Linked DNA regions of Lonchura striata. The protein of the gene in region 2 interacts with the protein of the main gene of each other region in a biochemical or structural test. Links are inferred from orthologs where the notes say so. Each region holds a gene or a part of one and is shown on either strand. Other genes may lie near its edges.

Evidence for each region.
Region 1: the proteins of EEA1 (region 2) and RAB31 form a complex in vitro, tested with the Homo sapiens proteins (2 studies listed by BioGRID). The link is inferred for Lonchura striata from reciprocal best matches to the Homo sapiens genes EEA1 and RAB31.
Region 3: the proteins of EEA1 (region 2) and RAB5C form a complex in vitro, tested with the Homo sapiens proteins (2 studies listed by BioGRID and IntAct, with this or other methods). The link is inferred for Lonchura striata from reciprocal best matches to the Homo sapiens genes EEA1 and RAB5C.

Annotation. Positions count from the first base shown.
Region 1 is NC_134603.1:51,791,858-51,795,601, reverse strand, and holds the start of RAB31 (ras-related protein Rab-31), read right to left. Parts: upstream 2,807-3,744; 5' UTR 2,739-2,806; coding exon 2,700-2,738; intron 1-2,699. UniProt on the Homo sapiens protein: The small GTPases Rab are key regulators of intracellular membrane trafficking, from the formation of transport vesicles to their fusion with membranes.
Region 2 is NC_134607.1:53,448,179-53,451,922, reverse strand, and holds the start of EEA1 (early endosome antigen 1), read left to right. Parts: upstream 1-1,246; 5' UTR 1,247-1,354; coding exon 1,355-1,378; intron 1,379-3,744. UniProt on the Homo sapiens protein: Binds phospholipid vesicles containing phosphatidylinositol 3-phosphate and participates in endosomal trafficking.
Region 3 is NC_134627.1:6,412,018-6,415,761, forward strand, and holds the start of RAB5C (ras-related protein Rab-5C), read left to right. Parts: upstream 1-1,391; 5' UTR 1,392-1,482; intron 1,483-3,744. Other genes in the region: voltage-gated delayed rectifier potassium channel KCNH4-like, read left to right, coding at 1-71, 157-597. UniProt on the Homo sapiens protein: The small GTPases Rab are key regulators of intracellular membrane trafficking, from the formation of transport vesicles to their fusion with membranes.

The DNA.
Region 1 (3,744 bases), on a different chromosome or scaffold from region 2:
AATCAACAAAGCCTTCCTTCCAAAGTGACTCACTCCTACCCACTCCTGCTGCCCCAGATTTCCCCTTTGCCTTTCTCTAGCAACAAATCCCATAACCATCAGCTTGTAGCGCACTACTCCTGGCTGCTCCAAATCACTCCCATGACACCCACAGAGAGTTTTAAAAACTCCAGGATACTCTGAAGGAGGAAGAAATGAAATGCAGACACCCAAATCCATTTTGTTAGGTTAATGCTAAAAAGTAGAGGCCAGGCTCCTTCCTGGCAATGTGGGGTTACATCCAGGAGCCAATAACCTACTCCCCCTCTCCAGTGCAATGGCTCCAGGCTACTCACTGGCCCTGGAGTACTGCACTGGCCTGTAGGGCTGGCAATGTGGACCACACCTCTGGTTTCTCTATTTCTCTTCATCATCCTCCCATCTAGACCCTCTATAGCCAAATGGGGCTTCAGAGCTTGTGGAGGAGCCGGTTTTGCAAACGTTGCACCGGCTGCAATTTTTTCCCACTGGGAAATTCTGAATAGGCAGGAACAGCCCAAGCCCAGGTCCTCTGCACAGCTTGAAGCCAGAAACTGTCAGTGATCCTCCTGTCTGATTCAGAGGTGCAGCCTAGGGCTGTGTTCAGAAGTGGGGAGGGATATGGGCTTACAAACCAATTTAATTCATATTTCTAACAAGGATAAGAACTTTTCTTGGGACTAGGACATGCCAGACTTGACTGATTATCAAGGAATCTATGACATACAATGCAGATTAACTAGGTCCAGGATCTACTGAGAAAAACAACTGTCAAGATTTCTTTTGGCAGATCTGAGAATGTATTTTTGAATTGCCATCTAGCTTTCAAGCAGATCAGAAGACTAATCCCTCCATTTGTTCACACAGACAAGTATGGAGTTTCCCTGCTCTAGAAATGTCTAAACTTGTTGAGAGGATTCATCTGAAGGATTCCTCTCTTTTGGGAAAACAGCATCAATCCCCACAGTAAATGAGATGTCTGTGATCAGAAGTAGAAGGTTTTCTAGGACTATGCCCTCTTAAAACAGAAGGAATATTTCACTCATTACTAAGTGACTATAACTACAGACACATCTCCCTAAGTGCTACCACTGCCACCCCATCATTTTAATGAATCTGCAGAGTAATTGCATACTCCTAGTAACACAGAGCTGCATTATAGATTTCTTTCCCTGTGTTAAAAAAAAACAAAAAAACAACAACAACAAAAAAAAATTGCCTTACAAAACCTCCAGTAAGTTTTAATGTTACAAAACATCAATAAATTATGGACATGAGGAATCTCATACCACAAGACACTTCATCTCTATAAAATTACAACATTTTCTGCTGGAGAAGAAAACAAGACATCCACGTATTCTACCACAGACGTCTCATGTTTGTACAAACCACATTTATTTTTGTCACAATGCCATTTTAAAAGTTGAAGGCAGGAATTCTAACCAAGAAAGGAGGAATGGTCACTGCCAAATTCTTTGGGTTGAACTCTCCAGTGCCCTGGCACAGCATCCTGGCAAGAACTACTCCAAGGCAAGGTACCCACTCCTGCTGGGCTAAGTGTCAACACAAATCAGAGAGAACTGGAACGTCTACTTGTGTTTGGTTTTCAAACCTTCAACTCATTCGGATGGCATGAAAGCAAATTCACTCTAAAATGCCTTCATTCATGCAGCTTCTCTGAGTGTTTATGGGGACATGTGGGCCTGAAAGCAGCCGAACTTGCACCGGGTATTTTGAGATGTTTGACTTTAAAAAAAAAAGTTGTGTACTGGAGGAGTGATGCTCTGCTGGTTACTGTCAGGAGAGGCAGTTCTGCTCCGCAGCAGTGTTTGTGCCAACTTAGTGGGCACATTTTGCCGGGAAGCTCCCTCGGTGCCGGGCAGAGAAGGGCAGGAACAGCCAAAGTGCAGAGCTAAGCACATTGTTGCTCCAGATGTGAAACGCACGCGCGAGTTCGCCAAAAAAGCGGAAAAAAAAAAAAAAAAAAAGGAATGGCAAAAAGGACGTTCCTGTAAGGAGTCGAGTCAAAGAAGGGCTGCTGAATAAAGCCAGGCAAGGAACTAAACAAAGCACCGAGCAGCACATCGGTGAGACGGGACTGAGCACCGGGAGAAGGAGCCATCCGACATCCGACACGGCGTCCCGGGGACGTGCTTGTCTCCGGGCAGCTCCCCTCCGCTGGCACGGGGCTTGCCGTGGCCACCGCCGCCTGTGACGAGCCCCCAGGGTGGGCAGCAAGCCCCCTTCCCCCCACAGGCACCGTCGGGGTGCTGGCACCAAAGGAGACCTCCGCGGGGCCACCGCCCTCGGGGGCATGGCTCTGCGCCGGCAACCCCCGCCTGGGGAGCGCTGGGGGGACCCCCCGACAGAGAGCCACTCACCGCCTCCCCCAGCCCGCTACGCCCTGCTCACTTTTAAAAAGAAACAAGACAAAAGCAAGAAGCCCCAAAGCCTCCCCCCGCCCGGTGCGCGGCTGCCAAGTTTCGGCGTGGAGGAATTTTGCGCGGCCGAGCCCCCCGCCCCGCCCGGGACCGCCAGACGCGGCGTCCCCCGGGAAGCGGGACAGCGAGGCTGGAAGCGTTCCCCGGCTTAGCGAGCACCCCGGCTCCACAGCCCCCACCTGCGAGGCGAGAGAGGAAGGAAAGGAAGGGGCAAGCGACCCGCCGGTCGCCCTTACTCACTCCAAGCAGACACACTTTCAGCTCGCGTATCGCCATCATCTGCCCGGGGCCCGGCCGCTCCGCATCCCCGCCGCTCCGCACTGCCCCGCCGAGGCGGCCCAGCCCCGCCGGGGCCGCCCCGCCGCCGGTCACATGCGCCGGCCCCGCCCCGCTGCTGCCCCGCGCCGCCGGACCGGCCGGGGGCGGGCGCGGCGCTGAGCCCCGGGCCGGGGCAGCGGGACAGCGCAGCATCGTTCGCGATGGAAGGGAGCTCTGGAGAGCAGCTGGTCCAGCCCTCCTGCCAAGCCACGGTCACCTGGAGCAGGTGAAGCAGGAACACATCCAGGTGGGGTTTGAATGCCTCCAGAGAGGGAGACTCCATGACCTCCCTGGACAACTTGTTCCACTGCTCTGCCACCCTCAGTGTGAAGTTCTTCCTCGTGTTGAGGTGAAACCTCTTGTGTTTCAGTTTATGGCCATTGCTTCTCATCCTTTCACCGGGAACGACTTAAAAGTCTGACACCATCCTTTTGGCACCCGCCTTTGAGATACTTGTATGTATTAATGAGATCCCCTTCAGTCTCTTCTGAGGCCCAGAGTCTCTTCTCATAAGAGAGATGCTCCAGAGCCCTAATAATCTTTGTGTCCCTTCGCTGGACCCCCTCCTGGAGCTCCTTGTCTTTCTTGTACTGCAGGGTAAATATTTGCTGTTGTGAGAAAAACAGTCTGTGAGAGACGGCATCCTGCAGGGGGCTGCGCATATGCTTAGTCCTACACACCATGTGCTGGGCTAGGCACGGGAAGGGGACTGCTCTGGCTGTGAACCATCTGAATCCATCTCCTTTTTCTTTCATTTTTCCTTTTTTTTTTTTTTTTTTTTTTTAAGCTTTTCCTGCTATGTCCAGAAATAATTGAAAATAGTAATTCCATTTTTTACCCAATCCTGGTAATACACACCTAATTTGGACTAAAATAGTCAATCTCAGGTTAGTAGTAGGGTTGTAGCCCACACACCACATACCAAATTTAAGTTAAACTCATCAGCTTAAGGCTAGTCTTCTGAAAT
Region 2 (3,744 bases):
CGTCTGATGTGGGGTTTTGCCTCAGCAGTAGATACTGATTCTTTCTCAGTTAAAATTGACAGGAAAATTAATCTACAAACACCAGAGGTTTATGTCCAAAAAGGAGACAGAGGAGTCCTTTAACTTTTTTGAATAAAGGGAGACGTTATGGGGCATTCCCCATGGGGTCTCTCAAACTTTTTGGGAGACGCAGCTCCATTTTATCCTAATTTCCTGGCTGCATTTTCCCTCTCTCTTTCCCCAGTGGCCGAGGTACTTGAGAGGTACAGGCTCCATAAGATGAGAAATATGTAAGACCCCCTTCTAATGTATATTTCCCCTCCCATTTTTCTTTTTCATTGTGTCTTTGATTTTTTTCTCTAAATCCAGAGATTTAGCAGTCTTGAGTGGGTAAGTCTGTGTCAATTAGTGGAATTCCTACGGAATTTATGGTTCCCCTCCTTGCTTCTTTCACATCTCTGTACCTGGCCTTATCTACTATCAGGCCCACAGTTTGTTTGTAAATACTTCCTTATCACTCCTTTCAGCTGATGCTTTTTGTGTTGTACTTTTTTTTTTTTTTTTTTTAGGTATGTGTGTATTTGTGTGAGTAAAATGTTCTTTTCTAATATTTAAAAAACACCTAATGGGTCATACCACAAGGTCGTCTTTTCAGCTGGGGGCTTGAAGCAAGGAGCTGCTTCATCAGAATTAAATTTGAGGTTAATAATCGTAACAAGTTCGCTTCGACAACCCTCCCCGAACGCACATTTCTCAGTACTTTCCGTGCCGCACGAGTAACAGAGTAACACGGCGCTGCATTTGCGCTTTGCCTCCTTCAGCGAGCCCGCAGCTGCAAGCTCAAACCACAGTCCTCTCCCTTCCCTCGGCCGATGCCACACTGACGCCAGCAGCACGGGGCCCGCAGCTATCGGGAGCCCGGGCAGCCCCGAGGGGAGCCAAGGGCACAGACAGCGCCGCGTTCCGCTTTCCCCGCCCTGCCCCCGGCAGCCGGGACGCGTCTGGGGCGGCGGAGACCCGGCACAGCGCAGGGACAGGCCGAGAGCCGCGGCGCTGGGCCCGCTGCGGCGAGGAGCCGGGCCCGGGCCCCCGCGGAGCGATCAGGGCGCAGCCCCCGGCCCGCTCCGCACCTCTACCCGCCCTGCCTTCCCCGCTGCCGGCGGCCGGGCGGCGGCGGTGGCCGCAGCCCCTTCCCGCGGGACCCGCCCCTCCCCGGGGCGGAGCGCGGCGGCTGCCCTGCCTCCCCGGCCGCGGCGGCTGTCACGGGGCGAGGGCCGCGCCGGGCTCCTGCGGGGCCCCGCGGCTTCCCTTCGGCCTGGCCGCGGCCGCCCGACGGCATCCGCGCTCTACCACCATGCTCAGGCGGATTCTGCAGCGGGTAAGGCAGCGAGGCCCGCCCCAGCGGCGAGGGCGGCGAGCCGTGCCGGCGCCGTGCCGGTGTCGCTTCCTGGTGCCGGCCGCGCTCGGAGCTGCGCTCCCCGCGGCAGAGCCGGAGCCACCGGCCCTGTCCGGCCCGTCCTGCGGCGCAGGGTCCGGTGAGGGCCGTCGCGGCCCCGGAGGCCGTGAGTTTGTCCGCCCCCGCCCTCTCGCTGGGAGACGGCCCGAGCCCCGACGGGACGGGACGGGCCAGGCCCGCCATCCCGGCTGGGGGCGGTGTCGCCTCCCGGGCTGGGCGGAGGTGCTGGCGGGCGGCTCCCGCGGCCGGGCCTGTCGGAGGGGCGAGGGGCGGCCCTGGCCGGCGTGGCTTTTTCCGTAACGCGGCGGCATCTCCGCCCGCCGCCTGCTCCCGCTGCCGCGGCTGCGGCCGCCCGCGCAGAGGGCAGGATAAAGGGAAGGCCGGCGTGGGGAGAGCCGCCGCCGGGACCTGCGGTGATGTCCTCAGGGGCTGGCAGGCAGCAGGCTCTTAACGCCGAGAGCCAGCCCGGCAGCCGCCGTCCGGCCGCCTCCCGTGTTTTAGGAACCGGCTTTTCCGGCAGCTCTGCCGGGCTTGGGAAGCCAAGTTGTGACACTCGTTTATGAGACCCTTCTCGCTTGCCCGGATCCCTTTGCCGGTGCTGGTCGCCGTGCGGCGGGCCTGCGGCTCGGGTGGGAGCTGCCGGGAGGCGCTGGCACGGGGCAGGTGCCGGCGGGTCCCGGCTCCGTGCGGCCGGGGGCTCGGCTGGGGGATGCACCCAGAAGGGTTGAGTCACGCCGGCCGTGGGCAGGCAGCGCTCCAGATCCCGTACCGCAGGAGAGCGGCGTCCGTGTCACGCTGGAGGCGTTCACGGATTGAGGGAAAACCAGCTGCTCTCCCCGTTTGATCCGCTGTTGCTTCCAAAGCGTGCTGTCTGTGTAACACCTCTGCGACAGAGTGTTTTATTGGAAACGCTGGCTTACTCTCCTTACCTGCCATGCAGAGAAGCGTTGCTACAAGAATGAGAGGGGAAATAAAGTAAGCCTAACACCAACTTTTTCAGTGTAAAACATACGTCAGATTATCTTTTGTTATAGACCCTAAGCAGGTGAAGATCTTGGTATATTTGGAGCTTTGTGTTTACAAGGAAGAGCTTCCTTCCTGAAGCTTAATGGGAAGCCCTGCTAACAAGCAGGAAACTTAGTACGGACCTAATTAAATATTGGCAGCAGTTAACTGGGTGTTTATTGATTCTGAGAAACACCAGGCCATGAAGGAAGGCTTCTGTGAGAGGAAAAAGCTTCATATAGTGCCAGAGGATATTTGTCCCTAAGTATGAATTCAGCTAAACACATCTTACAGACATCACATCTACAGTCAATGCAAAAGTTTCTGTGTGAGAAAAAGACATATTTTCCAAAAGATTGAACTAATAGTTGTTCTCCAGTTGCTCCTGAAAATTACGAGATTACAGGAGAATTTATTGTCAAGAAAGGTGAAACAGACTTCTTCCTGCCTAAAAATTAAATAGAGAAATGTCAAAATTTTTGAAGGTGTAAACTTTTTAATTGCTGAAAATAACTTTTGCCAAAAATAGACTTTTAAAAATTCACCTGATACTAAAAGGGGTTTTAGGTATTTTTGTAAAAATAGTGATTGCATGCACAACCTCGTACACATGTACCATTTTGACTTGCACTCTGGTTGGCAGACTGTGAAAAATACTTCTGCTGTACTTTGGTATTAAAAATGAACCTTAGGTTTATGTCAGATATTTTACTAAAGAACATAGTCATTAATATCTTTCATGTTTCTCATACAGTATTTGAAGAATAAGGAACTTCCTCTTGACCTTTTTATTGTCCATCATTTGTATAGCTGGCAAAAAACCACTGCCTTTCTGTCCCTCAAACATAGCTTCTTGCATATCTGTTTGGTTTGTTATATGTTTATAGGTGATGCCACCCTTTCTAGCCAGAGAGCTAGGCATTAATGGTGATATAACTTGAGTTATAAAAGCATGTTTTTTGAAAAAGGCATTCTTTGTTACATTATTTACATTCTTTATTACATTTTTTATTACTTTATTAGGCTGGCTGACAAGCTGCAAAGGAGGAAGACAACAGCTAAAGATATTATTTATAGTTTCTGATTCCTGAAGTTTCAAATCATCAAATATTTCTTTTTTATTCTACTTCTCTACCTTGATCACCTCTATTTCATCCACAGTTCAAATTTCTGTTTTTAAAAGCATCTTCACTGTGACTTTGAATGACATATTTTCAAAGTGGAAAGTATTATAATGGAAACATTGCTTGTTTAGTTTTTGAGGTTAGTATCTCCATGCTGTC
Region 3 (3,744 bases), on a different chromosome or scaffold from region 2:
ACGCCGGCGGCCCAGCCCTGCTGATGGAGGCGGAGCGGATAAAGCAGAACATCAGCAGGCTCAACCAGGAGGTGCGCTGGGGACCAGAGGTGGGTGTATGTCCCCGCAAAGCCCGGCGACATCGGCCGGTGCTCACTGCTGCCTGTCCTTTTCCAGATCAGCCACCTCAACCGGGAGGTTTCTCACCTCAGCCGGGAGCTGCAGAACATGATGGAGCTGCTCAGGGGCCACCTGGGCGCCCCGCAGCCCCCGGCCTGTCCCTGCCGTCTGCCCGCCACCGTCTCGCCGCCATCCGCTGCCCCGGTGCCCCCCTCGCCCCCGGTGCCCCCCAGCTCGCTCAGCTCCCCCACCGGCAGCCCCCGGGCCAAACGCTGCCCGGTCCGCAGCCGCTCTGCCCACGCCGCCGCCCTGCACCCCTGGCTGGGCGCCGAGGGGCCGCGCCCGCCGCGGGGGGACACCCCCGACCCCCGCCGGGGCTCGGACTCGGAGCCGCCGCCGCTGCCGCCCCGCTCCGCCCGTTCCTTCCCCGGCTGCTCGGCCGGGGCCGGGGGTCGCGCCCGCCCGCAGCCGCGGTCCGGCTCCACCAGCTCCCGCTGACCCCGCGGGCACCGGGGGCGCCTCCCCGGGGCTCTCCGCTCCCGGTCACCCCGCCCGGGGCTCCCCGCTCCGGGTGACCCCGCCCGGGGCTCCGGGCTCCCGGTGACCCCGCTCGGGGCTCCCCGTTCCGGGTGACCCTCCCCGGGGCTCCGGGCTCCCGGTGACCCCGCTCGGGGCTCCCCGCTCCGGGTGATCCCGCCCGGGGCTCCCCGCTCCCGGTGACCCCGCCCGGGGGGGCCGTGCCCCCGGGGCTCCCGGGACGCCGCACCGGGAACACGCGCAGGGATTTTGATACGGTTTTATACTCGTCGCCCACGGCGCCTTTTCTATAGCCCGGCCGGGCTCGGCAGCCCCGCCTGTGCCCAGGGCCGTGGGGCGTGGCGGGGCAGCGCAGCCCCGGGGGACCCGCGGGGGTCTGGCGGGGGAGGATCCGTAGAGCTCTCCGGTGGGGGCTCCGGCTTGCCCGGGGGTCGCGGCCGCTGCCGCCCCTCCGCGGCTGTAGTTCGTGTCGTTCCGCCCCGCCTCTCCCACGCTCCCCGCAACACCGAGAAATAAAGGCTCTATTTTTGCAGCCCCGGCTCCGCTGAGTCTCCGTCCGCCGCCGCCCCGCCCTGTCCGGGCCCCGCCCCGGCTCCCCCATGGGCCCGGTGGCACCGGGACGCATCTGAACTACAACTCCCAGCAGTCCCCGCGGGAGCGCATGACATCACGCACGGCTCAAGGGGCGGGGTGGAGGCGGGGCGGAGCAGGTGATTGGCAGCTGTGACAGCCTATGGCCGGCGGGCGCGGGGCGGAAGGGGTGGTCGGGGCCGGAAGCGGAACGGGTAAAGACGGAAGTGAGGCCCGGGGCCTGCAGACGCACCGGCGGGAGCGGCGCTACGGGCGGTGAGTGCGGCCGCGGCCGCTCCTTGCGCCCCGAATGGCCGAGCCCGCCGGGAGGGTGCGGACCCGTTCCCTCGGCTCTCGCCCGGCCGAGGGCGGCAGCCGGGCCCCGCCGTTTGGGCGGCCCCGTGGCGGGATGCGGCCGGGGCTCGGTGGCGCCGCTGTGCCGGGCGGGGCGATGCCGGGGCTGCACCGCACGGGTGGGGCGGGGGCTTTGGGCGGCCGGGTGCCGTCGCCTCTCGCCGTGCGCCGGCCTAGCGGGGCGCTGCGTGTGGTGCGAGGCGGGGCGGCGGCTGCTCCGGCCTGGCGGCACCGGTGTGTGCCGGGCGGTAACGGGAGCGGAGCCGCGCCGGGCGGGGGCGGCCGCACGGCCCAGGGGACGGTGCCTGGCTCGGGGCAGGCGTCCCGGCGGCGCTGTGGGTGCTCGGGTCAGGCTCCTCCCGGGAGCGGCTCCCGGGACAGCGGAACGAACGCCTGCGGCCGGTACCGCGGGATTGTGCGGCGGCTGTGCCCAGCTCCCGTCTCGCAGCCGCGGCTGACTGCGAGCTGAGTGGCACTGGGGGAGGTGTGGCGCCAGGACTGAAAGGGATTTCACGGTGGGATCGGATTTTGTGCTTGGGCTGCCTCTGAGGTGGGAGTGGAAGCTCCAGGGGTTCCCGGGAGGTGACTGAGACTGGCCGGGGTCGCTGCCGGTGCCAAGCACAGCCCTTGGGAAGGGAAACCCGTGGTGCTGTAGGGCCCTGAGCAAGGCCCACGGGCTGCAGGGACATTCTGTGACTTGTCTGTAAGGGAATCTCGAGCAAGGCCACCCTTGGATCTCTGGCACAGCAGGACAGACCCTGCAGTGTGAGCTGGGGGTGACATCCTGGTGGGATTGCACCAGGAGTGCAGGTGTGAGCGTGAGCAACAGGTTTGCCCTGCTAAATCCTGGGGAGAACTGCTGGCACCTTATTCCTGGTGATGCTCCTGGGGCTGGGCAGGAGCTGGGGGTGCTGCTGGGACCTGCAGGGAGCCCAGCCCAGCTGCCCTGCAGTTGCTGCCCTGGGATGTGGCTGCTGCAGCTCTGACCTTGGCTGTTCCCAGTCCTGTAGGGAAGCTGGAAAGGAGAATATGTCGAGGGACTATTTTAAGTCTGCTGTGGAACAACTTGCATCTGCTATTCTTAGCTTTTTGTGTGGAGGGTCAGCACACTTGAGCTGCCCTGTTTACAGCCTGATGTTGGGCCTGTGCTCTGCTGGGCCTCCCGAGCCACCTCTGAGCCTTGGATGGGGCCAAAAAATCCAGCTCAGTCTGTTGTCTTGACATGCCATGCAGTCTGAGGGAACTTCCTGGAAATACCCACTGCTGCCTTGACTCTGAAAGTCTTTTACGTTTCTTTTCAGCTCACCTGGATAATAAGGTGCAAGATCTATATGTGAAAAGAGTTAAGAATTCTGGATAGTACCTGTAGGCAGCTACAGGACAATGTTGAGGCATTCTTGGGGTGAGGCAAGCAGAGCCTGGCTGGATTTGGGAGGTCAAGGACAGGAATGTTTGGGGTCATACCTGGGTCTCAGTGTTGAAATCACCTCAGACCCCTCATAAGTTACAACAGTTTGCTGGAACAGTCAATACCTTGAGACCAAAAATCTGCTTCTGGGGTGGCCTTTTCTCCCAAGATGCTCTGGCTGATTTAGCTGACATTTGACTGCAGGTTGTGCAGGCAGCACTTAAGTGGGTGCTGATGCCTCTTGAGGTGATGGATCAACCCAGGCAAAGTGAGATGGACTCCTGGAGAGGGTTGAGTTTCTGGAGAGTAGGAGGGAAAGGCTGGCTTGGCATGTGGATATGACTAGAGCAAGCTCAAACACTTACCTGCTTTTGCATTGGTAGAGTACACTTTGCTTTCCTGTGAAACCAGGGATGTGTTGGTGTGGTTTTGGTTTGCCAGTTTGAGATGGCACCAATTTTTACATTTCCCAGCCAACTGGACAGTGTGTAAAGGAGCTGTCTGGTGATGTGTGTGTGCTTGGCCAAACATAATTGTTGTGCTGAGAGGTGGGATTATCTCCACCATAGCCAAGCTCTTCTGCGTCTCAACAGGGATCAGCTCGAGGGGTGCTCTAGGCCTTGCCACTCATCAGCTCTGTCCAAACTTCTTCAGCTGCTGCACAGTTTCGGATGGTGGTCATGGCATCTCCCTGAAGAGGGAGGGGGAAGGAATGCCAAGGGCTTTCAGACACAGGAAATAAAATGGGAACGCTTCTAATGAAGTGGGTGTAGCCC